4 linked regions of the Lonchura striata genome follow. The protein of the gene in region 1 interacts with the protein of each later gene in a biochemical or structural test. Links are inferred from orthologs where the notes say so. Each region holds a gene or a part of one and is shown in the gene's direction. Other genes may lie near its edges.

The links.
Region 2: the proteins of UBE2I (region 1) and TOP2B form a complex in vitro, tested with the Homo sapiens proteins (2 studies listed by BioGRID, with this or other methods). The link is inferred for Lonchura striata from reciprocal best matches to the Homo sapiens genes UBE2I and TOP2B.
Region 3: the proteins of UBE2I (region 1) and ZNF451 form a complex in vitro, tested with the Homo sapiens proteins (2 studies listed by BioGRID and IntAct, with this or other methods). The link is inferred for Lonchura striata from reciprocal best matches to the Homo sapiens genes UBE2I and ZNF451.
Region 4: of the proteins of UBE2I (region 1) and HDAC4, one has a biochemical effect on the other in vitro, tested with the Homo sapiens proteins (3 studies listed by BioGRID). The link is inferred for Lonchura striata from reciprocal best matches to the Homo sapiens genes UBE2I and HDAC4.

The regions. Positions count from the first base shown.
Region 1 is NC_134618.1:17,602,467-17,609,721, forward strand, and holds the start of UBE2I (SUMO-conjugating enzyme UBC9), read left to right. Parts: upstream 1-4,241; 5' UTR 4,242-4,691; coding exon 4,692-4,747; intron 4,748-7,092; coding exon 7,093-7,171; intron 7,172-7,255. UniProt on the Homo sapiens protein: Accepts the ubiquitin-like proteins SUMO1, SUMO2, SUMO3, SUMO4 and SUMO1P1/SUMO5 from the UBLE1A-UBLE1B E1 complex and catalyzes their covalent attachment to other proteins with the help of an E3 ligase such as RANBP2, CBX4 and ZNF451.
Region 2 is NC_134603.1:118,068,400-118,076,040, forward strand, and holds the start of TOP2B (DNA topoisomerase 2-beta), read left to right. Parts: upstream 1-4,632; 5' UTR 4,633-4,962; coding exon 4,963-5,019; intron 5,020-7,641. UniProt on the Homo sapiens protein: Key decatenating enzyme that alters DNA topology by binding to two double-stranded DNA molecules, generating a double-stranded break in one of the strands, passing the intact strand through the broken strand, and religating the broken strand.
Region 3 is NC_134605.1:89,238,960-89,246,600, reverse strand, and holds the start of ZNF451 (E3 SUMO-protein ligase ZNF451), read left to right. Parts: upstream 1-4,638; 5' UTR 4,639-4,765; intron 4,766-4,810; exon of another isoform or gene 4,811-4,915; intron 4,916-5,303; exon of another isoform or gene 5,304-5,474; intron 5,475-5,714; 5' UTR 5,715-5,717; coding exon 5,718-5,798; intron 5,799-7,641. UniProt on the Homo sapiens protein: E3 SUMO-protein ligase; has a preference for SUMO2 and SUMO3 and facilitates UBE2I/UBC9-mediated sumoylation of target proteins. Plays a role in protein SUMO2 modification in response to stress caused by DNA damage and by proteasome inhibitors (in vitro).
Region 4 is NC_134610.1:36,921,233-36,928,997, reverse strand, and holds the start of HDAC4 (histone deacetylase 4), read left to right. Parts: upstream 1-4,754; 5' UTR 4,755-4,890; intron 4,891-5,336; exon of another isoform or gene 5,337-5,431; intron 5,432-7,765. UniProt on the Homo sapiens protein: Responsible for the deacetylation of lysine residues on the N-terminal part of the core histones (H2A, H2B, H3 and H4).

The DNA.
Region 1 (7,255 bases):
AAAATCAGGAGCTGTCTTTAAAAGCTTCTTAATGAACAGCAGCTTTAAAGGGCTAAATAGATCTTATTGTCCAGTTTGCCTAAATGACTGAGAGAAGGAACTCTTTTCATTTTCAGACCAAAAATGCTAAGGGCTAAAATGCTTTCCAGGGCTCATTTGAGATTCAAGAGACATACAATTTCTAAAAAACAACTAGTCCATTTCAACTCATGGACTCTAAAATATTTTTTACAAATGTCTGAACCAATTGCATATGTAAGTGTTCCTATATGGCTTGGATTTTCAGTATCCAGATGGGGTAAGAGCACACTAGAGAAGACAGTACACTTACCGTCCACTTTATTATTGCCTTTGCTGAAATATAACAACTTTTATGAACAGCACTGGTAATAGAGAAGCTTTGAGGAAGATTCTGCCCCAGGAAATTGTCACAGAATATTTCTTTGCAACTTAGTTGAACTTTACTTAATGATGTCTGCCAAGGCATAAACTTCTCAGAAGTTCAGTGAGTAGATACTTCTGCAAATACAGCTTTCTGGAGGCTGTCTGGAAAGACATTTCACAATAACTTGAGGATATTGTATCTTAATAAGTACTATAACAAGAGAAACTTTTTTTAAAGTCATTTTGCTACTTTGGGGGTGAGTGGAAAGGGAAGAGGTTCTGTGACAGAGCTCTCCTTGCCTTAGAAAGCTAAGCCTAAATTTTGACCCAAGACCTGTTGTGATTTTGAGGCCTTGTCATCTGAAATGAGTAAAGAGTAAGAATAAAAGTATTTATTATCTATATGATTCTTGCTACTTTTGAAGATTCTCCAAAAGCTTATGCACAACTTTACTCACATTAACTTGGCTCATGTGTACTTGCTAGAAAGAAGCAAGTGCCAAGGCCCTCTTAAAAGGAATGTTACCAACCTCTCTACTGGAATTAGATCACCGGACTGAAGCAGTATCAAATGGCAGCTTTTTCCACCTGCTTCTTACCTCAACCTAGCTGTGAGAAATCAACTTCCTGTGCACTCTTTAGGATCACCTACCCAATTCAACATTTTTTTTCTTTTTAACCTTTCCCTCCAAATCACTGGTCTCAAAATTAGTTGTGCATCAGCTGTTTGTGCTTATACCCAAGTGGCCATACTTGCAACATGTCATTTCCTGGATAGTGGATTAGCAATAACACTTTATTTTGTGCCAATTCATTATCTCTGAAGTGTTCTTACTGCAGCAAAATTTGAGTTAGGATTTGGTTTTAATGCATTTGCATTAACCAAAACTCATAGCACAGACACTAGACAAGAAACTGAAGAAACTGAAATTTCCAGGGAAATTTCCCTGGAAAAAAATCTGCTAGGGCTTCCCAAATAATTTGAAGGTGGTTACAGTTAACCATCACTTTCAAAACAAACAAATGAAATGTGTATGGGTATTTTTTTAACTTCCTTTTCATAACACTAGTGTATTGTAAATTGCATGAAATAAACCTGGTTTTTCCCTTTTAAAGTGTGATGTCTTACATCTGTCTTTTCTAAATGCACTAATTGATATTAATAGTGTCATATCCTGTGACAATTCTAGTTTAGCACTTGAGATGTAAAATGTAGTTGCACATTTGTGCAGTGATTCAAAGCATTAATGCTTTCTTCTCTGTAAAGAAGTATCCTTTACTGCTGCCCCAAAGACTTTGTCACAAAAAAGTTAGGTCTATTCAGATATATATCAGTTGGGAAATTATTTTCCTTTGCAGTTGCTGTGACATGCTGGTTATTGTAGGAGGAAATAGTTGTCTCTTCTATGGATATATAATCACATGAAAAAGTTTTAACTAATGACTTTGCTTACATTTTCTTTTGCACAACTCAAAAACCACCCTGCCTAACAGCAAACATTCTAGAATCCGCTAGTTTGCTTTTTAATATAAGTGCTTCCTTTGTTTGAAAAACGAAGCTATTGGAAATTGATGCTTTGTAATAAGTCAAACATATAATAAGTTTCAAGGATAGAAATGGCTTAAGGAAGTAAACTATAAGTACAAAGTACAGGTTGTTGAAATTATCCAGGAAATTTGACAGTTGTGTCCTCTACAACTATAGAAAAGTTTATAATTGAGTATTAGTATTGAGAAGACCACTGGACAGCTCTTACTTCCCAAACTGCTAGTAAGAACTTGAGAAGCTAAGACCCATGATTTTTAAATTCCTAAAGCCTCTATAGTTACATGTGAAGCAAATTTCATCTTAACAGTTTAGTCAGTTTTAAGTGCAAAGCACATTCTATTATTTCCTTGTATATTCAGCAACATCAGTAAAATTCTAATTTTACTAAACTGTTTTGCTGCATTTAATTGCATTTGAATTTTACTAAAATAAGTGCTAAGAACAAACACTGCTGTAGTAATCAAGTATAGCAATTACAGTAATTAAGTAATCAGTGTGTGCACCTGTATTTTCATCAGACTGTCCTACTAAAAATATTTATATTTTAGAGTCAGCCAGCACGACTTTCAATCCAAATTCATATTCTATATACCTGTTGCTGTGTTTTCGCCATTTAGGAAAAATGAGAGCACAAAAGAGACAAGTGTCTACCCTGAACTAGAAACCAGGTTATAAAGGGGACATAAACAACTTAGTCATTAGCAACCTGTTTTGATCTTTTATAACATCTAGGGTTCATTTGGCACTAGTTTTCATTTCAGTGAGAAGTTTCACTTCAAAAAGATGAAAATGATCCTGCAAATTCACCGTTTTGGGTGCTGTTCATCTTTCAGTGTGCTGAACTCTTGCCTCATAAGTCATACACACATGTATGTGACATTCTCAGAGACTGTAATGTGTACAATTTCGTGAGAGAGGTCCTGCAAGCCAGGTGTTGACAGTTTCCACTGCTTTTCATGTCACTGTGTGGAAAGTTACACAGGGGAGTATGTATTTATCCTGGTCTACAGTGTGCATTTGCCCCTGTTGAAAGGTTTCTTAGGTAGAGTGATCTTTGCTGAAGATTTTGATTAGGGCTGATTGGAATCCAGGTGATTATTTATTGAAATAGTCAATCCTAGACTTCTGAAGAAACCATTTTGAGCATTAATACTACATAGAACATCTTTCAAGTAACATTGATACAGACTAGCACAAGGCAGCGATTTCAGGACTAAAAATTCCTCAGTTTCATTAAGAAAGACAAGTTCAAGATGGGAATAGAATGTGATTCATACTCCACTTGCCATTTAAAATGTGTTCTTAGAAACCCAAACAACATCCCTCCCACTCGTCCCCCGCCAAGGAAACCAAACCCAGGTCAGAAATCCCGTAAAGGTCAGCGAAAGCAGCGCGGGCCGGAGGCGAACGCAGCCCGCCCCCGAGCGGCTGCCGGCTCCGATAGGCCGCCGGGCCCGGCCGCCGCCGCGGGAGTGCCGCGGGAGCCGCGGCCCCGCCCCGCGGGCCCGGCCGGGCAGGGGCGGGGCTCGGCCCGGCTGGAGCGCGGCCCGCAGACCCGAGCGCGCCGGCGACACACCAGGCCTTCGGAAGCGACAGGCGGCTCCCGGAGCGCCAGAGGTAAAGGTTGATTCGGCTCTCGGCCGGAGCGGGGCAGCGGAAGGCACGGGAGGTGCTCGGCTTCGGTGTAGCCCTGCGGAGGGGTTTCTAGTGTTCCGTACTCAGGCACTGCTGGGGGCACCTCTGGGTCCTGTGTCGTGAGGATGCGCAAAGCGTGACGATGGGATCACAGACGGATCGGGCCGAGGGACAGAATAGCGCTTTCGCGCTCGTCGGCGAGGCGAGAGGGAGGGAAACTCCGGAGTGGAGACAAAGCGGCGGGAGCGGGAACATCCGGGTCACTGACGCGGCCTCGATCCGGGACACGCGCGGCGGCGGCGGCTCTCGGTGAGGCCCGCCCGGGAGTGGGGCCGCGGCGGCCCCGGGGTCGGGGAGCGGGGCCGGGCCGGGCGGGCGCCCCCCGCCTACGGCGGGACGGGACGGGAGCGGCGGATGGACGTGCGGGCCTGGCGACTGCTGCCTTGTGGCCGGGCCGGCCGGCGCGGCGCGGCGCTGCCCGCCGGAGGTTCCGAGCGGCTCGCAGCTCTTGGCGGTGGCGGGCGGAGGTCGCCGAGCGGGGCGTGGAGCCGCTCGGTCTGCGCGGTCCGTCCCGCCCCGCCGGGTGGCTGCCCGGGAGCGGCGGGCGGGCCCGCGGTGCCCCGTGCAGGCCTTGGGCGCTGCCTCGGCCCCTCGCGGGGCCGACGGGACCGGCGGCCCTCGGTGGTGGCGGGCGGGCCTCGGCCCTGTCCGCTCACTTGGCCGTCGAACACCGAGCCCATCGCCGCGCGGCATCTTCTGTTGTTTAATGAGCGACTCCGGTCGCCGCTCGGCCTCTTCTACCTTTCTTGCCGCAAGCAGAGGAGACTTTCTATCCTAGTCCAGAGTTAGCGTGCTTTGACTAAAGCTTAGACCGTGGCTTTCTCCACCCTTCTGAAAAATAAAGTTGCAATAGTTCGGGGCAAACTATTTCGATAATACTGACTTTCTATGTCAGTATTTAACCTGCAAAGTAAAAAATGAGGCTAGCAATCTTAACGTTTTGGGGACTTTTTTTCTTGCTGCTTGGAATCAATAAGTCGTACTGAAAGTTCTTGAACCTCAAAGAGCATATTGTTGATGTATTTAGAGAGTTGTTTGTGGCACAGGAACGATTCCTTGCGAGATGTGCGTTTTGTGTCTGAAAGTAGGTTATTCCACCTCATCGGAGAGTGTAAATGGGTAAGATATTCTGTAATGGGACACAAAAATTTGCATTTATGATAAGCGTGATGATTTTATTTCGTCCTTTTTTTAAAATAGGCAGTAGCAGCAGCAAAGGCAAGCTATTGAGTAAATTTGGAAGTTTCTGTTAACTTTCTGAGTTGATGGCAGTAAAAGGGACATTACTACCTCTTAATGGCAGGGGTGAATTTGGGGGATTCAACTCAAAACGTGAAGAGTGGTCTCTTTGACTTTCATGGCATGTGCCACAAAATAGAATTGAATAGACTTCCTCTGGTGTAAAATTCTTTCTGTTAATGTAGTACATAAATAGATTGGGATATAGAGAGTTTATATTGCCAGTTAGCTTGTGAAGGGATGCTTAACTAATGGGATCTTAGTTTGTGAAATGAGCTTTCAGTCTTGTTTAATCTTTATTTTCTGTTAGACTGATGAGGTTTTAGCTGCTCGTCAGTGTAACTGAAGTCTATGGAAACCATATATGTGAAGCTTGTTGTCTGTCATACATGCTGAAATTTTTCAGTGCTTAACTAAGTCTAATGCCTCAAGATTTGGAAAGTTATTTGTAGACCATTAGAAAAACCTTTATTGTACTAAGGCACAGTATAGTGTGTAAGAAAAGCAAGTACTCGGGATTTTTTTTTTTTTTTCAATTACTCAAAAAGTTACTGGGTTACTGATGTTCTGCAGAAGATCCGCTGCTTATTTACCCAGTGAGAAACTGGCGTTTCCCTTGAGGTTCATGTTGTAATTAATTGGCTGTTAGCCACAGGAAATGGAATAAATATATTTGAAAGCATCCTGTAATGCATTTTTTTGGCAGAAAAGGTAGCTGAGTTTGGTGAACTATGTGGGAATATTTGGATGGTTTATAAGCAAATATGCCTGTGATGGGAAAGTTAGTATTGGTACAGTGGACTACCAGGTACCAAAGGCACAGCTGAAATTCTGCTGTACATTCAGTTCATTTACATCTCTTACAACATATTAAAACTTGCTCATGACATAGTAAAACTTGCAGCCTGTATAATTTGGTTAAGGGAGAGGATTTTTGTTGTCTTTGGTTTCTTGGGTTTTTTTTCAGTTCTACTGGTATTTTTTTCAATGGCTCTGCATCTCCAGCTTGTGAGCAGACTAAAATCTGAAGTCATGTGTACACATTCCCTAAGTCCTGCAAGTCTTCTGCCATAATTAATACAGAGGTGGATGTGTTGGGACTACTGGAGGAAAATCAGACTGAACATAGGAATATTTTTGTGTGTGTGCATGTCCACTGAGTGTGAATTGTCCCTTTTAAAAAGCTTTATCTGACATTAATTTAGTTGCTACTTTGAAAGTGAATTAGGGAATATGGCCATCTAGGCAAAACAGTCTTAAAAGGTTGGAGAACAGATTTAAAATAGATATTGTTCTAGGAACTGCATAAGCTGCTTAAAGTTCTACAATTCATATGCTTATAATAGTAGTAGACTGCAGTACTTCTTATAAATAATCAACATATTGAGAGGTTGTGAAATTTTGCATAATCCTTAACCAGTGTATAAGGGTTTGTTTTAATAGAGTGGTAACACTGCTGAGAGTCACTCTGTGAGCTCAAGTGGAAGCATTCTACTATTCTGCTGTCAAAAAGGTTTATTATGGTGGTTACCATGCTTGGCTATTACTAAGGCCGTGAAGGTTCAGAAATAGTCTTCAGTTTATACTGGAATTGAAAATCTGTCTTGTGCAATGAGCTGCTGGCTCTTCCTTAGCTAAGTTGCTGCCTGTTCCTGATGTTGTCTAGAAGTTTTATAGCAGCATCACTGCAAAACTGAGATGACTTTGTTAAATTCTATGCCCCTGTTGCTTTTGTGGGGAATACTGGCTTTCAATGGGAATTTACCCAAAAAGTAGTATTTCTTATTCCCATTTGCAGAAATGGGAGTAATACAGGTGTTTGCCTACAGAAGAAACTTGCCATATTGCATGTGGTGTAGGAGGGAGATAAAGAGTGTGTCATTTGCACAAGTAGGAAGTCTGCACACTTTTTCCATTACTAATACTGTTTCTATTGTCAAACTACTGTCAAAGTTTCTTCGAAGATGGGGTTCAAATATAAAACAATAAGGTAAGAATGGAATTTTGTAGGTCATGTCCAGTAACTAAGAACTTGATGGCATAGGGAAATTTGATGTTATTCCTGATGATAAATTCTGCCAGCTGTGAGAAACATGTGGCTAGGTTATTGAAGTGAAAATGAGAGGTCAAAATTACTCTTGAGTGAGCAGGGGCTTATAAACACATAATGCATTGTTTATGCTATAAGTTAAAGTATATGCTAACAGCAATTACTTTTGTTTCAGAGGGACTCTGAATATGTCTGGCATAGCTCTTAGCAGACTTGCACAGGAGAGAAAAGCCTGGAGAAAAGATCATCCGTTTGTAAGTACCAAAGCCACCAAATCTGACTGCAATTGTTTCAGTGTTCTGGTGATGATTTTTTCATTACCCTGATAGGATTTTTTT
Region 2 (7,641 bases), on another chromosome or scaffold:
TTTTAACATTGTTTTTGTCCCTCCAGGCATTTGCATCTTTTTCTACTGCCACCAACTCTTCTTAAAGACTCAGTGGATGTCTGCATGGGTAGTAATTCTATTGATGTTGAGATTTCGTCCCAGTATGGCCAGCTCAGCTTCCCCTGCTTCACCTCTGCATGCAACATCTCTTGCTGTGTGTGGTCACTGCACAAGGGAGCTTTGTCCTATACAAGGAATTTCAATACAAATATATTTAATTTCTATGACCAGCCTCTGTTGAAACAGCAATTATGCTGCTCAGTGAAAGTGTATCACAATTCAAGACTGAGCTGACAGTGAGGAGATTGAATGGGCTTGGATGCCCCTCTAGTCACAGATAAAGTTTACAAGTGACACAACTTTCCTGTTCTGTGTGAGAGACTGTGCAGCTCAGGTGAGAGGCCAAGCACGTCAGGTCTGTAACACACCCTGCCTCTCCTGCAGCAGGGAGGTGCTGCCATCCAGGAGGAAGTCAGGTGGGTCAGTGTAGCAGTCTCAGCCATGCAATGGGCAGTCCAGGATGGAGCCCAGGGGTCCATCCTGTAGCTAACCCTGGGGATTCTGCTGGACTTCTTCCCCAGCAACAGCCTGGCAGTAGCATTCACAGCATGCCCCACTTGAGTTTTCCACACCTCTGCCAAGAGCGCAGCACGTAACAGGTTAGTCACCAGAGGAAGAATTGGAGGGCAAACAGGGTTTAAGCAGACTGTCACAAGTGGTACATGTTTCTGGAGGATTAAGATGGAAATTACCTGATGTTTTTCAAGAGACTGGCTGTGGAACAATCTGGCCCCAGGAACAGCTACTAACAAAAGTGCCATGGATACATCAGGTATGTAAGTCCTGGGCACATTTCAGCTGAGAGTGTCGTGCAGTGCATTGACAGTGCACACCCACAGAAAACCACTAGTATGGCCTCTTGCTAATTCAATGAAGGTGTTTGAGATACAATTGTGTAAGAACACATGACCTGGCTAAATGTATATCGTTAGGTGATCCAGCCATGGGTAGGCTTCTCTTAAATACTTTGGAACCGTGGCATGAAGGTCATTCGCAATCAACGTAGTACAAATGTATTGGTCACTCTCATATTGTACTGCCGCAACCCTACTCAATAATTTGGTCAATTATTTCAAAATTATGTTAATGAATTATAATGAAATTTTAAAATGCAGTAGAATATGGAAAATATTTTATTGTGAGTGTAGATATTTAATATTAAAATATGCAATGTTTGTTTATACCTCATTACAACTACATACAATGTGGAATGTATAATGTAATGGGCATCAACACTTAGTTTCATAAATATTTTAGCAAAAATTTACACTTTTTCCTGTGTAGTTTGCAGAAAAAGAGCTGTGGTTGGTCATTTAAGTAAGTGCTTGTATCTGAGTATGTTCACAGATTAGATAAATGTACATAGTTTCACAAATAGTCATATTTTAGGCCCTTTAACTCTGTGTCTAGAAAAGCCACATTGAAAGAAAAGGTTTTATTAGAGAGCAAGTAAACTAGAAGCAGTAAGTAACTTCGAATAGATGGGAAGTTTGTACATACCAAGTATAGAAATACTTAAAGATCATACGTACTTACTGCTAAAATGATTGAACACAAAGTAGTATTACAATAAATATTTTGCTTAGTAAAAGCACTAGTGAAACTGGTTTAAGTAGATCATTGATTTGAAAGCCTCTAGGATACTTCTGTTTATGTTATGGTCTACAACTGTGAGAACAAGTAAATCTCCAATGAATTGAAATAGGACTTTTCGTGTACAATCTCAAGGGGATTACCAATTTAAAATGTCACACAGTAAGTGTGAAGTATTTGACATGAACTGGTAGTGCATGATTTGGGCAGGTTGCATTCAGTAAAGTAATTCCACTCCTATCAAAATGTTATGGCACATGAATTTGATTCATGCTCAAATCTACTTCTGTGTTTGTTTTAACAGGGATCTCTTAAAATGTGATGAGCAGTCTCATTTCACTGCTCCACCTCTGCAGTCCACAGAAGCAGCTGCTTTTGGTCTCATGAGAACTTTGTTCCACAATCCTATATGACTAGCAATGCAACCACTCAGCATACACATATAAGTATTAGGGATAAAAACCAACATCAGCAATAAGCCAGTAAAATGCCGTGCAGCTAGCATAGTAAGGATGAGAATTAAATAAAATCCAACCTGGACAAAGTAATTTCAAGGACTAAAGAAAATGCTTGAGGGAACATCAGCATTTCCTCATAAATTTGCTGCAGTGGGACACAGACTGAACATGTCTGACCATGCATGTTCAAAGAGCAGTAGCTGCCAAGAAGAAACTCCCTCTGTCTCTCTCTAATATATATGGCATTGGCTGCCTTCAAGTTAGATTGCTATCTTCTGCTTGGCTCACATTGCAAAAGGCACACTTCCCACACTAAGGACAGCCTGTTTACTAAACAGCTGGAGCTAATGAGAACATAGTATACTAATGTTTGAAACTTGCTCTTTTTCTGCTGAATACAGAAATGGTCCTCTACCAATGCAAAAAGCTGTGACTAGAGGCACTCCTGTTTACTCTGATCCACGCAATATTCATTGCAGCAGTTCACTGTACATGATTAATTGTAATGGGTTCTATATATGAATTTGAGATTTTGGAAAAAAAAAAATCAACACAGTTCTAATCAGCAAGCTCAGAATTCTGAAGCACTAGGCATAACCCTGCAAGTGTTACCTTGTGATTCTGCCAAAAGTAGAAGAAAACACTGCCTACAGCTCAGAGGCACATGGAGCTGCAATAAAACTAGGCTGGAGCAGATAACTTACTGTCCCTTCTAGGCAGATGCCATTATTTTCCATAATCCTTATGCAGCACTTAGATATTAGTTTAATAGCTTCCTTAGAAACTGGCAGAGTAAAATTATGCTAAATAAGCAATATTTACTAGAAATTCTTCTGATCCTTCCCTTGAGGCATAATTGAACATTACAACTGACTCCTCAAAAGTGGCTGTTTAATTTCCAATCCCTTTACTCCTCCGGAAAAGTATTTTGCAAAAGGAAAAACCTTTAAATAATTGCTCTTCCTTTGAAATGGTTGTCTGATTTGTCTGCTAGTTCAGATGCAGTGGTCCTACTGATCCCTCCTGTTGAGACTTTACATTCTTAATAATTCAAGTAATGGAACAGGTTGGACTGGGTAGGTCCTTTGCATTTCACACAGCAGAATGAAAATTGCTAATTGAGAAGCTGATTATAATATTTACAGTTATACATATATAAGTATTATATACATTTGGTGTAAAGTATGCAAAGCTGTACGTATTTTTTGTGCTGATACCTAAAATGACATGAATTTTGAGCTTTATACAGACACTGGTTAGACCTAGGAAGTAGATGGTTTTTGGCCACAGCATTTTTTTCAAAACGGCGAATAGGGTTGTACTACACAGGGTTGGTTGTGTGCTGCGTACAGAACGGGGTCCTGTGCTGTGTGACCCTCTATGAGGACTTCACACGATGATGCTCAAATGGAGGATAAAGGTCTGTGAGCTATCCGAGTTAAAGAGCTCCTCGGGCCGATCCCCAGAGCCCAGAAGAGGGCAGTGGATTGTAAATACACTCCTGCCTGGAGCACTGGGACTTCCAGCCTGCTGGTAACCGCCGCAGGTCGCAGCGGTGGCAATTGCAGGGACCAGTTACGGGCTGGCGGAAAGGGGACAGCTGCCCGCCGAACCCTCGAACACCTGGCCCACCTACCGCATCACCTCTTCTCCGCCCACGCATCGCAGCATCATCCACTTGGAACACCAGGAAAACGGGACAGCCGTGCTTTGCCAGTCCCCACACCAATGCCCCTGTGTAGTCACGGGAAAGCGAGGCGTCTCCCTGCCCGCCGTCACAGAGCGGGAAGAAGGGGCGAGGGTGCCCGTCGCTGACCCGGCAGCTGGGCGCTGCTTCGCCGCGGTCCCTATCCCGATCCAGCCGCCCCATCCCTATCCCGACCCCATCCCTATCCCGACCCAACCGCGCTGCCTCCCCTCGCACCGCCCCCCGCGCGCGCGGCAGCGCCCCCGTGCGGGCTGTTCGCGCCTTGTTGCCACCCTCGGTGACGTCACACGCGGCTTCTCCTTCTGGCTTCTCGGATTGGCCGGCGCTCCGCGCAGCCTTCCCGCCTCCAGCGCGCGATTGGCGGGCCGGCCCGTGATTGGCGGGCAGAAGACGCGGGGGGAGAAGAGGCCCGGGCCGGCTGCGCGGGGAGAAGCGGCCGCGGCGCGGACGCCCAGCGGGGCCGGCGCGGTTATTTATTGTCTACGCGCGGTGTCCCGGCGGCGGGAGCGCTTCGGGGGTTGTGTGGGGAGAGGAGGGGGAGGAGGAGACGGCGGGGGAGCGGCACCGGGCGCCGGGACGCAGGGTGGAGAGAGGAGGGGAAGAAGGAGGGGGCCGGGCCAGTCCCGGGTGTGCGTGTGTGCGGGGGGCGCGGGGTCTGCGCGGGAGCGCGCGCGCGCGAGGGGCGGGAAGGCAGGGAGTGAACGAGGGAGGGAGGGGACGAGGGAGGAGGGAGGGAAGGGGAGATTTTTTTTATTATTAATCTGTTTTCCGGGCCTTTGTGGCTGCGGGGGGGGACGGCCCGGAGGTGAGGAGGGGGGCGGGAGGCAGCAGCGCTACGGCGGCGATAGCGGTGGCTGTTGTTGCCGCCGCTGCCGCCGCGAGGCGAAGGGACCGGCCCGTCGTCCCTTTAAACTAGCGAGAGCCGCAGGCCCGGCCGGGCCCTCGCTCCCTCTCGCCTCCCCGCCGGCGGAAGGGGCGCTTTGTGCGGCCCCTCGGGCGCCCTTGCTCGGTGCCGGGCGCCGGTGAGGGCGGGCGCGGAGCGGCGCCAGGCGCGGAGTCGGTGCCGGCCCTCCCGGCCGCCTCCGAGCGCCCTCGCCTCGGCTGAGGAGAGACGGGCAGAAAATGGCAAAGTCTGGAGGAGGAGGAGGCGGCGGCGGCAGCGGGGGACTGACTTGGGTGGTAAGTTGTGGGGCTGCATGTTGTTCGTGGGATTTGCTGCTCGTGTTTTGCTATTATTACTACTGTTATTTCCGTTTGCGTCCCTTGCGTGTGTGGAAAGAGCGCGGGTTGGCTTTGAAAGGAAGGGAGAAGCGGAGGGCTGGCGTGGAAAGCGAAGCGCTGTAGGGCCCCCGCCGCTCGGTGGAGGGCTCCGGGACAGGAGGAGGAGGACGGGGCTCGGAATTGATGTTACAGGAGGGGAGATTTTATCCCTCTGGGGGGCTTCTTGGGGTGCTGAGAGCCGTAGGGAAGAGGTCAGTCTGTGAGCAAGCAGGTGGGAAACTTCTGGGGGTAGCGGGTGGGTCATCAGGGCTGTCTTGAAGCTGCTGTCCTCCAAAGCGAGATATGGTCCGTCTGACCCACCAGAGTTGCCGGTATTGCCTCTTGTTCCTAGAGCAAAGCTAGCAGAGGGTCTTTGTGTTGATCCTGTTTTCTTTTCCAACTGTGTGCAAGGACAATACCTGAAGTTCCCAAGTTTCAGAGACAGGAAGCAGGAGCTGTGTGCTTGCTGTTCCATCTTGGCATTCAACTTCATCATCCTGCAAAAGTTGTAACTCTGTAACAGACCCAAGAAGGGGGTGTTTTACTGCCTTTCGTGGATTGGTCGGAAGTATTAAGATTCGGGAGGGTGCTGGTGATAGCTGACTCTAGAATTGATGAATCCTTTTTTGAACCTCCTTATAGTCCTTTGAGAGTGCTGGCTCCCAATGCTGAGGTGCTTTCCTTGTCAGTAGTAAGAGTGATGCTCTCAGGTTTTGGTGAGACCTGAGAGGAAGGAGGAGCAAAGGTGACCTGAAGGGATCTGGTTCAGCCAATCAGTAACTCCCCTGCTTTTCTCTTGCTCAGCATTGAGGGGTAACTTCTTTAATGTTTAAGCAGAAGACACTAGATCTTGATGGACAGGTATCTTTAATCAGACACATGTGCTTTATAGAGGTGGGAACTTTTAACGAGTCTTAACAAGCAAACTTGTTCTTGTGTCCCTCTATATCTTGGAGCTGTTGAAAATGAAGTATTATTAGAGTGAACAAATCCTGTATGTTCTGCTGGTGGACTATTTCCATGGATGTAATTACTGCATTTTATGTTGGTAATTCTCTTTAATTTTAAGAAGTTGGCAGCATGGAAAGGTATATTAAAAAAAATGTGCAAGTTTCTGGGTGTGCCACTTGAAATCACACAGTTTAGCCATGGGAACATGTCTAAGCTGAGCAGCTATTCTCCTGTCTTTTCACAATATTTTGCAATCTTTATCAACTGTGGTCTTTGGATGACTTTTCAGAATTAAGATTGTACCATCTAGGTTCGACCAAGTAATTGAAAGTTTTACAGCTCATACAGAAAACTGCAGAATGAAGTGTGAAAATTACCGAATAGGCATTTTTATTGAAACATGTTCTTAAATGTAATGGGGTTGAAATTATGGTGAGTCAACAGTTTCCTACAACTGGAAATGATCAAACTTTTCATTCTCTAAATGTAGTAAAAGTTAAAAGTGTTTTTGTCAACTCAAGAGTAGTTGTAGGGAAATAATTGGCTTTTAGTTGGAACTGTGTTCATTTATTTTTTCAAAAAACAGTGGGACATTCTTTCTTTCTCTCATGTGCATTTTAAATGGTGAAGGTAGGATTTCTGAGCCAGCTCCTAAGACCAGACCTGTTCCATGTCAGCTGTAGAACTGGCATGCAGAAGAACAATATTGTTGTAGCACTGAATTGAATGGGGCCATAGCCTGTGTGCCAGGCTGAAACAAATGTTGGTTTAGGTGGTGGTTCATTTGTAGATGATCATATGATGTCCTTGAGGAGGGTGAGAAGGATAGATGTAGGGACAGAATAGTTTCAGCTGTCTGGCTTTAATCTGCTTGGCATGTATCTGCTGGATATGCAACCACTTGCAGTTCAGTTATAGGTTGTTTTGAAACCACCTTTATTTTCTTAGAATTCTTGCTAGTGTGTTGAAACCACTAGGATGCTTCTCTGTCTGAGTAATATATTCTCTATAGTCTGTGGTTTCTTAATAAGACCATGAGTTAAACAATTGAAGGGTAACAGAAGAAATGATTCCTCATCTTTTGTCCCTGAAGATGAGGAAATAATTTAAAACTTGGTGGGATGTTAATTTATGTTTCAAATAGCAAATCCTGTGTACATAATGTAGTTGCTCACATTTTAGTAAAGAGTTGTGTGTATAACTTCAGCTTTGGGTGTGATTCAAAGAGAATGCTTATAGGTAGGAAAGAATTACATGCAATTGTGAAAAAGGAAAGATACTTCCTATAATAGAGAATTTACTCTAGAGTGAATTTCATAATGAGACATCATACAAGCATCAGATGATACCTAATTTTACTTTTAAAAGAAAGAAGAATTAAATGTTTATGGAAAAAAACAGCAAGTCATCTGTGTTTTCTGCTGTAACAGGATTTGGAGAAATGTAACTACTTAGACACAATTACCAGTGATGGAACACATCAGAGTACAATAACTGAAAATGTATATTGGGAAAATAATTTAGCATTATTTAACTGGAGACAAACCAAGATAACCTCTGATTTATTAAATGTACTTATTTGGTTTTTTA
Region 3 (7,641 bases), on another chromosome or scaffold:
CAAAAATTTGCATTAAAGTAAAAATTAATTTGTTATAGGTAAATGTGTGATGTTCTGAAGTGTAAAATTCTGATATGAGCAACAGAGGGTACATTATTTGCAGTCCTCAGAATGGGAGAAGATTGATGGCTGCTACAGAAGCTGTAGTAGTGACATTAGACTGTATGGCATTTAGTAACTGGAGATTTACTACTGAAAAGGTAAGCAATACTAAAACTAATAATTTGAACTATTTATTCATATTACTGTATATTAGATTGAATTTGAAGGTTAGCATGGAAAAAAAATTTGGTAACTGTTTATCATGAAGTGGTCAGAAAAGTGCTTGTTTTCTAAGACAGGAGGAATATTGAGATATGTGAAGAATTGGATAAAAGCTTTACTGAAAAAATATACTGTTTAATGAATCAAGGAGTTAAATGCATGTCGAGTTCATGTCCCCTGTTATTAGGGTATATAGATAGGAGTAAAAAAACCAAAACCAATAGATATCTGAGTTTTCTAGATCAAGAGTAAGTGGCACTATGCCATGTTGATACAAGAGGGAAATCAATGGTTATAAAGGCAATCAGTGTTTCACTTAAAGGGAGCAAGGAGAGAAGCAAGAATGTTGAAATATGTTTGAAAAATATATTTGAATTAGAATCATAGAATTGTTCAAGTTGGAAGAGACCTTAAAGATCATTTAGTTCCAACTCCCCTGTCGTGGGCAGAGACATCTTCCCCTACCCCAGGCTGCTCAAAGCCCCATCCAACACTTACAGGGATAGAACATCCACATTTTTTCTGGGCAACCTGTTCCAGTGCCTTACCACCTTCACAGTAAGGCATTTCTTCCTAATAATATTTTATCTAAACCTACTCTATAATTAAGGGCATATAGTGAATACGTGGAATTAGCTTCTAGAGAGCATTACTAAGTTTATAAAGATCGTCTGCTCTGAAACAGCTTCCACAATCTATGTGATATCTAGACTTCATTTGAGCTTTGGACTTGGAGATCTCATGAAGATCTAACAAAAACCCCTGCTCCTTCTTACCTAATCTCCCCTACGCTCCCCAGCAAGTTCTGCATAAGAACACCCCTAAGCTGGCCCAAAGCCTGACAACTGTTCTTTCACAGGAATTAGATGAAATACACAAATTTTGGAATTCAGAATTTTGTTAGCATATTGTAAATTATTGCATGGCAACTCCATTACTATTTTTTTTCCATAACTGTATTGTTTACATACAAGGAGGAAATTTGGACTGGTCATTGCAAGGGTAAACATTTACATGAATGACTACTGAAAAATTCATATTTAATTGAGCATCATTTGCATAGAGTCTCAGAGTTTGGAAATACAATTCCATCATGCTGCCCTAGTAACTTTTTACTACAGGTTGTTATATTATCTATTCTCAAGAATCAAAAGTTATTAAGTGCAAATACAAGCTACAAACAGAATGACTGCTATCAATTTTCTGTTAGCAAATTCAAGTTACTAATGCAAAATATTAAAGTTAAGGCAGCAACAATGACTTTCCAAGTGACAGTCAGGTTTCCATTATTTTAATAATGAAATAAAAGTAGACAAATGAGTGTAGTTTATATACTCCAACAAGAGTGATTAAGTCGTACAGCTGTTGAGGATATAACTAGTAGATATAACAAGCAGCTCAGTATGTCTATCTTCTACCATAGAGCTGTTTTTACATTCACATGGAAAGAGGCTTAAAACTAACACTAGTAACTCTGTGTTTTCAAGAAAAATAAATGCACTAATTAATCCCTACACAATATTATATTATATTGCTGATAGTTGTTTATTCTCTTGCATAACACCAAAATTTAACAAGCAGCCTTGAATTCTTTCTCTCCTGTGTCTACAGGATTTGATAAGCACACACCAGTGAAGTGCTTTGCAGGTGTGCAAGCAGCTCTTTTATACTGATACACCACTCACAGGTGACATTTACACTATTCAGTTTACTCAAAGTCAATGCATTGAGTAAAGATGACTCATACTGATTTTTACTTTGGTGGCAAAAAGTAGCTATATGAACAAGCAGGAGAGCAGTTGCAGATAAATAGCAAGAATCATGGGTGTGGGGGTCTGAGTGATGTTTTCTCAATCCTAGCAGTGAGGGGGCACAGATAGGACAAGTCAATACTTGTTGGCAGAACTTGTGTTGGTGACAAGGATTTGAGTTGTATGACCATGAGACCCTGCTTGCAAATCACGTTCTGCTTGACAGAGATGAGATCCACCTCTCTAAGCAGGGCAAAGCTATTTTTACCATTAGGATTATGACCATGTAAGCAGAGATTGAAAGTAATAATTAAGCAAGAAAGTAACCAGCAGCCTTGTGGGGTGCGGTGGTGTGTCTCTTCTTTAATTTGATATTTGTTCAATGTCTGTTCCCCCCATCCCTAATCTCCACCTCTCCCCAGTTGTCAGTCTTCCCTAGCTCTTCCCTAACCCCTCATCTCTAAGTTGTCAATCCTCCCTTTCCCTACCCCTTTCCCTAGAACCTTCTCTGTCATTCCTCCTAGCCCCCTCCACTGCTTCCAGAGCGTTCCCTGTCTATTTAGTGAGGCTCGACACCCTACTGCTTATTTTGTGTTATTCCACTCCCCTGCTTCCCCTGATAGGTTTGTGATATGTTAGTTTTGCCCTAAACTCCTCCCCTACTATTCCCTTATTGGTTACTGTTCCTACACCCGTCTTCCTGAGTTCTTGTATAAAACCTTTGCCCCCCCCTCCCAAGGGGGTCTTGGGGCTCACTGAATAAAACCATCCTGTTCATCCCCAAGTCCCATGTCGCCTCCGTCTGTTCCCTCACCACCAACTGGGACTGCAGAGTTCATAGGGGGAGCGGCCGCCCGTTCTCTTCCCTCTCGCCGCCCAGCACGGCACCGCTCGGGGTGCTGCGGCAAGAAGAGTTTACAGCGATGCAACAGTGGGGAATCGATGGACACTGAAAAAAGTAAAGGGCATAAGGTGATATGGGAGAAAGAGAACACAAAATCAGGAAGATGGAGCTTAGGAGAGATCACCTTCAGCTCTTGAATGTAAGCAAAGAAATGTCTATGAGACACCATAATGGAGAAATCTCCCAGGTCCTTTCCTAGATAGGAGCAGCCTTGTATTTGTAAGCCCTTGTACTAATGTGGGAGTTCAACCATTCAGATATTTGCTGGAGGGACAATACAGCAGGACATAAGTAATCCAGGAGGTTTCTGGTCATAAAGGAGTCAACAAGGACCAAGAATGAACAATGCTTTGTTGGACCTGTACCCATGAAGGGACTGTGGGAAATGTAAAGCTCAAGGCAACCTTGGCCACAGTGAACATGAGATGGTGGAGCTCCGGATCCTGAGGGGAGGGTGAAGAATAAAAAACAGGCTCATCACTCTGGAGAGTGAATTTTGGTATCTTCAAAGATCTGCCTGGAAGATCCCATGAGATATAGCCCTGGAGGCAAGAGGGGCCCAAGAAAGCTGGTTAATATTTATGGATAACTTCCTCCAAGCACAGGAACAGTTTATCCTTGTGAACAGGAAGTTAGGCAAAAATGCCACTACGTAGATGAACAAGGAATTCCTGGTCAAGCTCTAACACAAACAGGAAGCATATAAAGCATGGAAGCAAGGATGGCTTATCTCAGAGAAATACAGAAACATTGCTCAAGCATAGAGTGATGAAGTTAGGAAAGATAAGGCACGACTAGAATTGGACCTAGCTAGGGATGTCAAAGACATCAAGAACGGCTTCTGGAAGAACATACGTGACAAAAGGAAGACAAAGGAAAATGTAGGCCCATTGATAAATGAGACAGATGATATAGTGACACAGTACATGCCTCAGTCTTCACTACCAAGACCGGCCTTCAGGGATTCAGGCTCCAAAAATCAGGGGGAAGGGCTGGACCAAGGAAGATGTACATTTGGTGGGAGAGGATCAAGACAGGGAATATATACACACCTTAGCAAGATGGGCATATGCATGCTAAATCTATGGGCCCTGACAGGATATGCAGCAACAGGTGCTGAGGGTGCTGACAGATGTCATGGCAAGATCACTCTCAATTATCTTTCATGGGTCATGGGGTCTGGGACTGATGCCTGAGGCTGGAGGAAAGAAAATATCACCTCCATCTTCAAGAAGGGCAGGAAAGAGGAAAGCAGGAAGAACCACAAGCCAGTCAGCCTCATCCTGATCCCTGGGAAAGTAATGAAACAGCCATTCCCAAAAACTATCTCCAGGTATCTCAGTGACAAGAAAATCATTGTGCTGTCAGTATGGCTTTACCAAGGGGAAACCAGGCTTGACCAGATTGACAAACTTGTGTGATAAATTGACTTCCCTGGTAGATGAGTGGAGCAACGACCATTGTGTATCTGGACTTCACCATTGCCCTTGGCAACAACGCCTCCCGCAAGATTTTCGCAAAGGACGTTCGCAGATGCCCGGGCTGGACCGAGCCCCGTGTGAGGTGGCTGGGGCTGGCCGGCTGAGCAGGCACAGCACGGCAGCGGCACTGCGGCCCGGCCCGACCCGGAGAGGCGACTCTGCCGCCTTCCCGCCCCTCGGCTGCCAGCCCCAGCAGCCGCCCTTCCTCCTCCCCGGAAGCGGAGAGCGGGTTTTCCCGCGCCGGGCCGGAACTCGATGCAGCGCATCTGGAGGCGGGCGAGGGGAGAAGGGAAGAAGGAGAGGGCCCAGAAGAAGGGAAGAGCCCGGCGCGCCGGCCCGGGAGGCCGCGCCATGGCGCTGCCGCGGTAGCGCCGGCACTGCCATGGGGAACGCGGGGCGCGGCGGCGGCACCTCCCGATCCCGGCGAGCCGTGCCGCGGCCCGGCCCCGCCCCCGGGCCGCAGGGGAAGCGGGGACGCGGCGGGTCGGGCCTGTGCTGCCCGCGGGGCCCGGCGGGTGAGCGGGGCCGGGGCGGGCCGCGGGCCGGCGGTTGCAGCGGTCGCGGCGGGGCCCGGCGAGCCGCGGCTCGGGCAGCGCGGCGTGCGGAGCCGTGCGGAACCGTGTGCCGCCCGCGGAGCCGTGCGGAACCGTGTGCCGCCCGCGGAGCCGTGCGGAGCCCGCGGAGCCGTGCGGAACCGTGTGCCGCCCGCGGAGCCGTGCGGAGCCCGCGGAGCCGTGCGGAACCGTGTGCCGCCCGCGGAGCCGTGCGGAGCCGTGAGGAACCGTGCGGAGCCCGCGGAGCCGTGTGCCGCGGGCCCTGCGGGGCGGGGGCGTGAGTCAGCAGCGCAGCCCCCGCCGTTGCTTTGGAGCAGGAAGCTCGGCCCTGCGCCGCGCTCCTGGAGCGGCCCGCTGCAGCCGCAGCTGCTGAAAACGCCCGAGCTCGCCCGCAGCTGTTACGGGCCGGCCTCGGCTCGGCGGTCCGCTAGGCTGGAGCTCGGGTCTCGGCTCTTGCTGGGGTTTCAGGTTCAGGCATGTCCTTGGGCTGCTACACTGCAGCTACGGCTGCTGGAGGAGTGTAGGTATTGGTATGCTTTGTAGATAAAACCACGTTTTACAGATTAAAAATGGAGTAGTGTGATTCCAGTCAGAGTTGTTTATCACCACTTGTGGTGTCACTGGTAATTGGGAGTGAATGATAGAGACTTGTTGAATACAGATAGACTGCAAAGCCAAATAAGGCGTAAAATGGAAAATACTGTTTAGTTAAATTAAACTTAAAAAGTGAAATTCTATAGTATATTTTGTTTCTGTTTAGATAATGGAATCTCATAACTCTGACAGCCTTCACAAGAGTAAATCACCAGCTTCGGGAAGTGAAGATGAGATTGAGTTCATTGGAGTAAGTAGACCTTGTACTGGAAATATACTGCTTGTTGTAAAAAATACACTTTCAGTAGTCCAGTAAACAGGAGAGGGGTCTTCATTGACTCTGTTGATGATGATTATCTTTTGATGTAAAGCATTACTCTTGAATATACAGATAATTTCATTTGTGAATGTTTATGGCAGATACAACTCCATCTTAAAGGAGTTTATATGCCCTTTCTTGGAAGGGTGTAAAATGATGTCATTGGCTCTGTAGAGAAAATGTGGTCATAAATCATTGCTCATTCTGCAAATCAATGTTGAAATCAATGTACTCAATGTAGAAGAGGAAGGAAATACTAGGTTAGAGGCCTTAAACAATGCTCTCAAATTGTGAGGCAGTCTATTGTACAACACAGTCTAATGCTGGCATGCTTTATGTGACCACGAGACACTTGTATCTGTTGAATATCCAAGAGAAGCAGAATGTTTTTCATGCTGTCTGTGTTCTGGCCTCAATCTGGCATCATTGAAGTGGTGCTGGATGGCAGGATTACATGGAATTATAGAATTGTTTAGGTTGGAAAAGACCATTAAGATCATTTTCTGCCGCTGCAAAGCTGAAGCCCCCTGGCTTCACCTGCCTGGCAGAGGCACAGTTAGCTGCAGGGGTCACTCCCCTGTGTCTCGAGGAGAGTCAGGGAGCAGCTAAGGCAGAAAGTCACACTTCCTGCCTTGTTTGGAGGAGAGGCAGCATTTGGAGGAGATAATGAGTGGCATGATTTAAGGCTGGGGAAACAGTTTCAGGTTTAATCCAGGCTCCGGTAGAAGATTTGGGAAGAATGGGTTGGGGAGCTGAGAGTGATGGATCAGGTACCAGGGAGTGGAGGGGGAAGTGACTAAGCATTGTCAGGGAGATTGGCACTGAGAGAACGGCAGGAAAACTTGGGGTGGAAACACAGGGAGAAAGTGGGGAGTGGAGGGACAAACCATTACAGAGCTGTTACAGAAATATAAAAACACAATACAACAATCATTGAGTCCAGCCATTAACCCAGCACAAAACCATGTCCCTAGGAGCCACATCTAAAGATGTTTTTCTTGAAGGAACAAGTCATATTGCTACTGGTATTCACTGATGCCAGTATTTTTAGTGGCTGGTTTTTTTGTAGATTTGTCTCATTTTTGAACAATATGCTGAAGAATTACTAGATTCCCCCCCATTTTGTATGGTGTTTGCAGAAAAAGTCTGTATGTTGAACTTCAGCTTTAATCAGAGGTATTTAGGAGCTCTGGTATGAAGGATAGGGATTTTTTTGCAAAAGTTATAAGCAGTTTGTTATTTCTGAGATGTCTTAATATTTTGGTTGATTTAGGCAAAATTGATTGAGTTCAAAGTTCATTATATACACACAAGTATTCATGTGCATCTGCAGAGGAGGTCTTTGGGTTGTTAGTGGATGAGCTGGCAATGTGTGCCTGCAACCCAGAAGTTCGAGTGTGTCCTGGGCTGTGCCAAAAGCAGCGTGGCTAGCAGGGTGAGGGAGAGGATCCTGCTGCAGTGATCCTGCTGCAGTCTCTGGTGAGACCCCACCTACAGTTCTCATCCAGCTCAGGGGTCCTCAGCATAGGAAGGAGATCAATCTGTTGGAATGAGTGTGGAGGAGGGACACCAAGATAATGAGAGGGGTGGAACACCTCTCCTGTGAGGAAGGACAAAGAGAATTGGGATTGTACAGTCTGGAAAAGAGAAGGCTTCAGGATGACCTAATTGCAGCTTTCCAGCACCTGGAGGGAGCCTACAGAAAAGATGGAGAGGGGCTTCTAACAAGAGCATATAGTGAGAGGACAGGGAGGAATGGCTTCAGACTAAGAGT
Region 4 (7,765 bases), on another chromosome or scaffold:
GGCTTTTTATTCCAGATTTGTCCCAAAGTAGATTGGATCCACGTCAGGAAAGACTCCAAGCACGAGCTCTGCCAGCTGCTCCTTGTCTGCAAAATCTAAAAGTTGCTGCTCCTGAAGCCAGGCATTTTTATTTGCATGAGAAAGCTGTAGCTGACTGTAAGATAGTTTGTGATCTGATTTTAAAAGAAAAGGATAAAAATAAGTCCAATTGTGTTCTTGTTCTGCCTCAATTTAGCTGCTGGTCGTTCTCTTTTGTGCTCCCCACATTTCTGGAAAGCTGGTTGACACTTATTTAGGTTGGCACAAACTAAATATAACCAAGTGTGTGTGAAAGAGCATGGACTGGGTCAAAGCTTCCAGAGCAGCAGAAAGAAGCACTTTGCTTTAAAATACCAAAATCCAACTCTTTCTGAGACAGCTCAATGAAACACACACAACCTGAACAAAAAGTGAGCCCTCCATTCAACTCCTGAATGCTGCTGAAATTTTTATTTTATTTTTTTTTGCCAGCTTTTACAGTCCACAGCCTTCTCATTCAATCCTGAATAATAGCTTTGAATTGGGCTGTAAAAGCTTCCGAAGTTTGAAGTCTTTTGACAAGTTAATTTAGCTGTATGGTAAAAAGTTTTTCCCCCAGATAGAATAAAGCCATCATCTCATGAATGTAGCAGTCAGCCAAGGGAAAGAAAACACCATTAGGATTAGAAATGATGGGCTTTCTGGAGATAGTTTGTGGTTTAGTGTGATCTACTATCAATATTTCAGTAGAAAAATATCCTACTCGTCATCCAGCTGCAAGTCAGTCTCTTCACATAAAACCAACACCCAGGGACCAGGCTGCAAATGTTTTTATTTCTATTTTTCTATTTTGCTTTTTTTTTTTTTCCCTGGTCATATTTTTCTTACATTTATTTAGATTTTAATGGTTTTTCACACCCTGGATGATGCTTTTTTTTTTTTTTTTTTTTTTTTTTGCCTGGTTGAAAGAGGCCGAATAGAAAAATGGATCAATATTTCTTTGAAGGTTTTCTCACTACAGAGAGACACACCCCACATTTTTCTTCCAGTAGCTGGATGAAAAGAAATATAATAAATTGATACACATTTCCTTTATTTTTAATATTAATAATTGGAAAATGAGCACTGATAAACAAAGTGTATCCATCAGTTATTCTAGCCTTGATGTCACAAAGAATCCATATTAATTTTAGACTTATTTCTGCTTTTTATCTCAATTTAAGCCTTAATGTGCTACTAAAATGGGGTGAACAAAAAAAAAAAAAACAAAAACAAAACCAAACAATTGAGGGGGAAAAGAGATTTCTTTCATACTCTTAATTCTTCAGTTTCATTTGGAGGGATGATGACACCATAAGAACTTTTGGGCAGTTGTTTGTAATGGCCACAGAATAATTTTTCTCTCTGCAGTAGGAATGATGATCTTTGTGGATCCCCTCCAAGTCAGGCTATTCCATAATGTAGTTGAGAGCATAGCTGCTAGATAAATAGGAAGCTTATAGAAATCCAGAAAAATACTGAAAACAAAATTGGCAAACATTTTTATTCTAAAAGTGTCTTGTACTCAGACATTGTAAAACGACTGCCATAACAATCCAATATATCTCCATCAGCAAAAATAAAGCGTAAGTATGGAGAAGAAAGCAAACTTTACATTGTGACCTCCACTTTGAACTTCACTTGCTTGTTTTTCCCCCCAGCTGGGGAACATGGACTTGATTTTGCCCAAAACAACAGCAATAATTTGTTTCTAAGAGTCTGGCTCTTACTGCTTCAGGGTTTCAGCTCTTCAGGCCCTGAGTGCTGCAGACTTGATGAAGTGTTAGGTGTGCAGACAAGCTGGGAAGCAGCTCCTGCAGCCAAACACAGGCGTGGGGGCTCCGAATTGGAGGAGAACCACCTTGTTCTGGATCAAAGCAAGCTGTGAGGCAAAGAGAGAACAAGGAGTTACAGCTGAAGCAAAACTCACCAGGATTAAAAAACCAGTAACAACCGAACAAAACTCCACAATAAAAGGTATGCTGGAGGAAAACACAGGAAGGGGCAACGTAAATTTAACATTCCCAGTCACATCAGAGCTGTGCTGTAAATTATGTGGGTTTGATGGGGTTTTCCTTTTGATGGCAAAAAGTAGTAAACCAGTATACTGTGGGACAGATACAGAGCAGGGAGTGGGAAATAGCACAGAAAGGTGACAGGTAGGACAGGAAAACCAAGGGAGGTCAGTGATGGAGACTGAATGATCAGGAGGAAGAAGAGGGAGCCATCATCAGATTGGAACTTGTGTCTAGGCTTGACTTTTCTCCAAGGACCCAAGTGTCACTGCCACTTGGTGTCTAGGCTCCAGAGGAAGCTCCTGCTGGCGCTCTTCCTAACTCTATCCTCCTTTTTTTTAGGCTGTGGAGTGGAAAACTGAAGCACTCTCTTTTCCTTTCACCAGCTCCGTGTGACTAGCGAGGGAAATTAGCTGGAGTGTTGTGATGGCTGTTTCCTGCTTGAGAACATAAGAAATGGAATCATTCCTGACAAACAAGGAGTTCAGCTAAAGATGAGGTGGAGGTAGGCGTGAAGTTCTGTAATTGCTTTTTATTTAAATCTTTATGAATTAGCTCTGCCAGGGTGTTGGTTTTTATTTTAGATTTTTATTTTTTGCTTCAACAGGCCTCTGAGTAAGTTTTTCAGCTGCAAATACAGCAAAAACAGACTATATACAGCTATAGCCAATATGTTGGATTGAACATATAGCAAGAAGCCTTTCCCTTGTGAATCTGAGGTCTAATTTCCATGCACAACGACAAAGGTTTAATTTTCTGCCATTATGCATAGGTTAGCCTAGACTGGGTATTAATAGAGACACATACTCACACCCACAGCCACAGGTACAGCATCAATCAAAACCTGAAGGTAGAACTTACACTTCGTGGCAACTTCCAGGGCACAGTTCTCTCCTTTTGTTTCCTGTTTCCAAACTGCTCTAGCAGTGCAGCGAGGAAAGGCAGCTGGGCTGCTTGTAACCCACGTTTTAAGGATTTGGGACCAATTCTCCCCCTGGCTGGAGCAGAAATGGGGACTGCAGGGGAGGGCAGACACTCACCTGGCTGCCACAGCCGTGCCCTGCACCAGCCATGAGCAGCACACCTGTTGCCTTGGCAAATATTGCCCTGCTTTGGTAACCTTCTGGCCCTGAAGGCCTTCCACCCACAGGTCTCTTGGCACTCAAACATAATTTGGGAGGTTATTTATACACACGTTCCCTTATCCGTCCGAGCGCACAGCTGGCCCCAAATAAAGAGGGCAGAGCAACTCTGTGAAACCTCACCAACCAAAGAACAACAAACAAGCCCACGAGCCTAAAGAAGCTGCAAATGAAACAAAAAGGGCTTCAGCTTCAGGCAGAAGTGGTGTTCTTAATGCCAGTGGTGCTCTCAGGTGTGTATTCCACGGAAATGTCACCATTTCCTGGAGCCTGTGGACAACGTGGAAAAAAATCCCGAAACTTTAATGGCTGGATCAATATGCCAAGGGTTTTTGTAAGGGTGGCCCTTTCAAATGAAATCAGAGGTGGTAAATATCTCCGAAAAGGTAAAAGAGAAAAGGAGCAGTGTTTATATACTACCATGTATATGCAGATTTGAGAGACGGACAAAGTTGTTAGCAATTCCCATCAAGTCCCAAAATTTATGTAAATCCAGATGGCTGAATGACAGGAGTTCCTATTTTTTTAAATTTTTTTTTTTTTTTTTTTTTTTTTTTTTTGCTATAAGGGAAATCTGGAAGTTTTAAAAAACAATTTAGCGAGAGCCAATTAATCAAACCCACCAGAAGCGTGCTGGGATGGCTGCCTGTGAGTAAGGAATGTCATGTTTCAGCTTGCCTTAGGCAAGGATGGGAAGAAATTCCTTGGAAGCTTAGCAGGAAATCTCCTTTCCACTATCCCAGGGTGCTCCAAGCTCTGTCCAGCCTGGCCTTGGACACTTGCAGGGATGTAGGGGCAGCCACAGCTTCTCTGGGAAACAGAAGTAATGGAATGATACATCGCCGGTGGGATGTTCCCACTGGATTGTGTCCCACAGGATGAACTTCTTGCACCCAATACTGCAGTGTTTTCCTTCCCATCGTCCGGAATGTTTGGGAGCACGACTTGGGAAGTTTTGGGCACTGCATAAATCAAGAAAATACGAGTGAAACGAGATGTGTCAGTTCAATGGGTAATTCCACGTACAACTCAAAAATCAGTAAATTGCTGCGAAAACGGGGGTAGAGGGAAACATTACCGGAGAACTCCTTTTTATTTTCATTTTTAAATTTCCTCTCGGTAATTCAAGCAAATATGTTGAACCGTGCCCTGTCCTTTCTGTCGTTTACCCCTCGCTTCAGCTGTTTGCTGTTACAGGCGACACCTGACGGAAAACACAGGACGGCCCATGAGGGAGCGGGACCGTGGGTGCAGAAAATCGGGGGGTAAAAAACCCCAGAGTTCCACGTTTTATCACACTGTGGTCTCTACGGCGTGGATCGCAGGTGGGGGCTGGAGACGCCGGTCCTGCGGTCCCGACCCCCGATCCCCGCGGGCTCTGTGCCAACATGGCGGCCCTGCCCCGCCCCCGGTCGCCATGGCGACGGGCCGCGCGCCACGGGGCGTGACCGGGGGCGCACGGGGCGGGGCCCGATTGGTCCCCTTCCCCCCGCGCGGCTATAAATAGCCCGCGCCCGCCGATTGGCTGCGGGGGAAAAATGGTCGCACCACGTGACTCCTCCATCTAAAAAGATTTCCAAGATGGCGGAACCCGTCACGGGCTGAGTCCGTCGGTGGCGCGCTCCGCGCCGGGGGGGCCATCGCCGCGCAGCGTCCCCGCCTCGCCCGCCGCCCAGGTCAGTACGCGCCGCTCCGCCGCCGCCGAGCCGCGCCGCCCCCGCGCCCGGGCTGCCCGCGGCGCCGGCCCTTTAAGGCCGATCGCCTCCCCGCCCGGCGGGCTCGCGGCGCGGCGGGGCCGCTCCCGGGGGCCGCTGGTCGCCGCCGCGCCGCGGCCGCGGGAGGGGGAGGTGACGGGCAGCTGGCGCGGCCAATCGCAGGCACCCGCGCGGTGGTGGCGGGCGGATTTGAGCCGCGCAGCGCCCCAGGCCGCGCGCTGATTGGGCGGCACGCCGGGCGGGGCGGGGACCCCGCGCGCCATCGGCCCGGCCCGGGCGGGGCGCGGGGGGCGTGACGGGCAGCGCCGCCGCCCACTCAGCGCGCGGGGCCCGGTTTTTTGTGAATGGGGGGGCGGGGCCGCCGCCGCCTGCAGCCCCGCCCCCCGCGCGCTCGCCCCGCCCCTCCCGGGCGGCCGCGGCTCCGCCTCGTCCCCCCCGGCGGCGGCGGCGGCGGCGGCGGCGCTCGGTCCGTGCGGGGCGAGTCGAGGCGATGCGGGCAGCGGTGAGTGACCGGCGAGGCGAGCGAGCGGCGGGCTGCGGGCAGCGCCGTACGGGGGCCTGGCGCCGCGGCTTGGCGGGGCGGGCGCGGCCCTGCGGAGGGGGCGACGCCCGCGGCTCGGCCCTGGGGCAACGGGCGGGCCGCGGCCCGGGATCGGTCCTTCCATCCTCTCCTCCCGGGCCTCCTTCCCTTGTCCTTGTCGTGGGAATAACGCGGGACTTGGAGAAAGTTTGCGTCCTCTCACCCCGCTCCCCGGGGCTGTCGGGCTCGGGCCCCGCGGCACTCACCTCCTCCTGGAGAAAATGCCCCAAAATGGCTTTTTTTTTGTGCCCGGGAGGAGCAAACAGGGGGTGCTGCCCTCGGCAGCGCGGCGTTCTCAGAGAGCCCGGCGATGGCAATCACAGGTCCGAGGCCCAGGGCTGTAGCCTCGCCGCCACAACTCCGGTTTTGGGGGTTCGAGGGGGGATAAAGCACGTGTGCCGCTGCGAAACCTCAAGCCTCGGCTTGCATGGGGCGAAATGAAGCAGAAAAAGCCGAGCTTTGGGGTGGCGGAGGATCGCGGAGAGAGGGAGGTGTTGCCCAGCAGCCGCGTGTGGGTTTTGCTGCAGGGATTTATCAGGGGAAGATGCTGCGCGATCCCGGCGCTCCCCCAAAATATTGCCCGCTGCCTGCCCCAGATGTGCTCTCGGGGGTGTTTGTGACGGCTCGGCGGAGCAGATGGATTTACATAACAATAATTTGACTGTCAGTGCTCGGCGCTGGGCAGCGGCTGGACGGGAAGGCAACCTGCCCTTCGCTCAAAGCACTTGCGTAATTGTGTTGTGCGCCCACTCCGCAGGGGAAGGTGCTGGTTTTGGTGGTTTTTTTGCCTGTCAATAGACTGTTTTGGCTGATTTGCATAAATCAGACTCGTCGCCGCTAACGCCCGTACGGGAGGATTTCGTGTTCAAGCCTTGCTTCATATTCCGGGCTGGATTACAGCTCTGAAAATGCTCCCAAGGAGTGGGGATCTGTGCCGGGAAGGTGTGGGTGGATTCAGGGTGTGAAAATGCCTTGTAAAACCCTGGGATGGGGCGTGCAGCGAGGCATTGGCTCTCTCCCGGCTTGCCGCTTCTTTCCCACCAGGCAGCTCGGTGCGGTGCTCGTTTCCCCAGCCGCATCACCTTGTCCTCAGAGCGCTGGTCTGAGGCCGCGGAGATGGAGCAAGCGTTATTTTGGCCCCGGGAGCTACAGAGAGTGAATAATCCCCTGGCCAGTGCGTTTTGATTTACTGCTATTATGCCCTGTCAATAAATGGGACTCATGCCGCATTTATTCCCTGCCCTCAAAGTGCTTTGCTTGTTGCCAAATCTACCTGGAGTTAATTATCTGAATTGTGCTTTTTTTCTTGTTGTTGTTGTTGCAACGGCAACATTTTTAAAAGCTAAGGAGCTCTGAAGTTTATATAATAATCTGGTTCTTGGCCGGGTTTCCTGGTGGTTTTTTTTTCTTTTTTTTTCTTGTGTGTGTGTGTGTAACGCGGTCGGTCGCGGCGCTGAGTTTTAATAATTTCTGATCTTTCCAGCACCACTGTTAGGAGTTCTCAGCCTAAAAAGCTGCTGCCGACGCTCTGCAGCCTCGCTGGAAGAGTTGAGGGCATTGAATTTAGGAAAGCTCAGCTGCTTGTATACAAATATACAGCAATTACAAGGCAACAAAGTTATTGCAGAACCCTACTGTCGCCATGGCAACACGCTCACTCAATTACATTTGGAAATGTAAAATGCCACCCAGTTAGAGTAAGTTTTAGTGACTGCAGATATTCTGGGTAAAGTGAAATGTGGAAGATGCTGCTTTCCAGGATTCTCTGCTTTTTCCCTCCGTCCATGGATGGCATGTGCATCTGACAGATTCCCAGTGTTGATATTAAGCTGTGCCCTTGATGGTCTAAACTTAGGGAAAAATATCTTTAAATCTTCACAATTTTAACTTTGCCACTCTGCTTTTTTTTCGTTTGTGTTGTTTCAGGACTTAGCTTTAGAAAGGAGACAGATTAGAGAAAGCATTTTGGAAAATTGGCTTAGAACACCAGAAGAATTTGTCATTTGCTCAGCAGGATGGAGGCATGGAAGGAAGCACACGTATGGCATGAAAAGCTTGTATTCCCTTGGGAGGAGATGTCTGTTGGGCAGCCTGTGTCTGTGTGCTGCCATCTCCTAAAATCTCCTAAACAGATAATCCTAAAGTAGAGAACTGCTAGGTGTGAATTACCAAGTTCTTGAGAAGTCCAGGGTGGAAGATAACAGGTGGAGGAGATGCAGGTCCGGGTGTGGGATATCGGTGACCTCCACGGTGGAA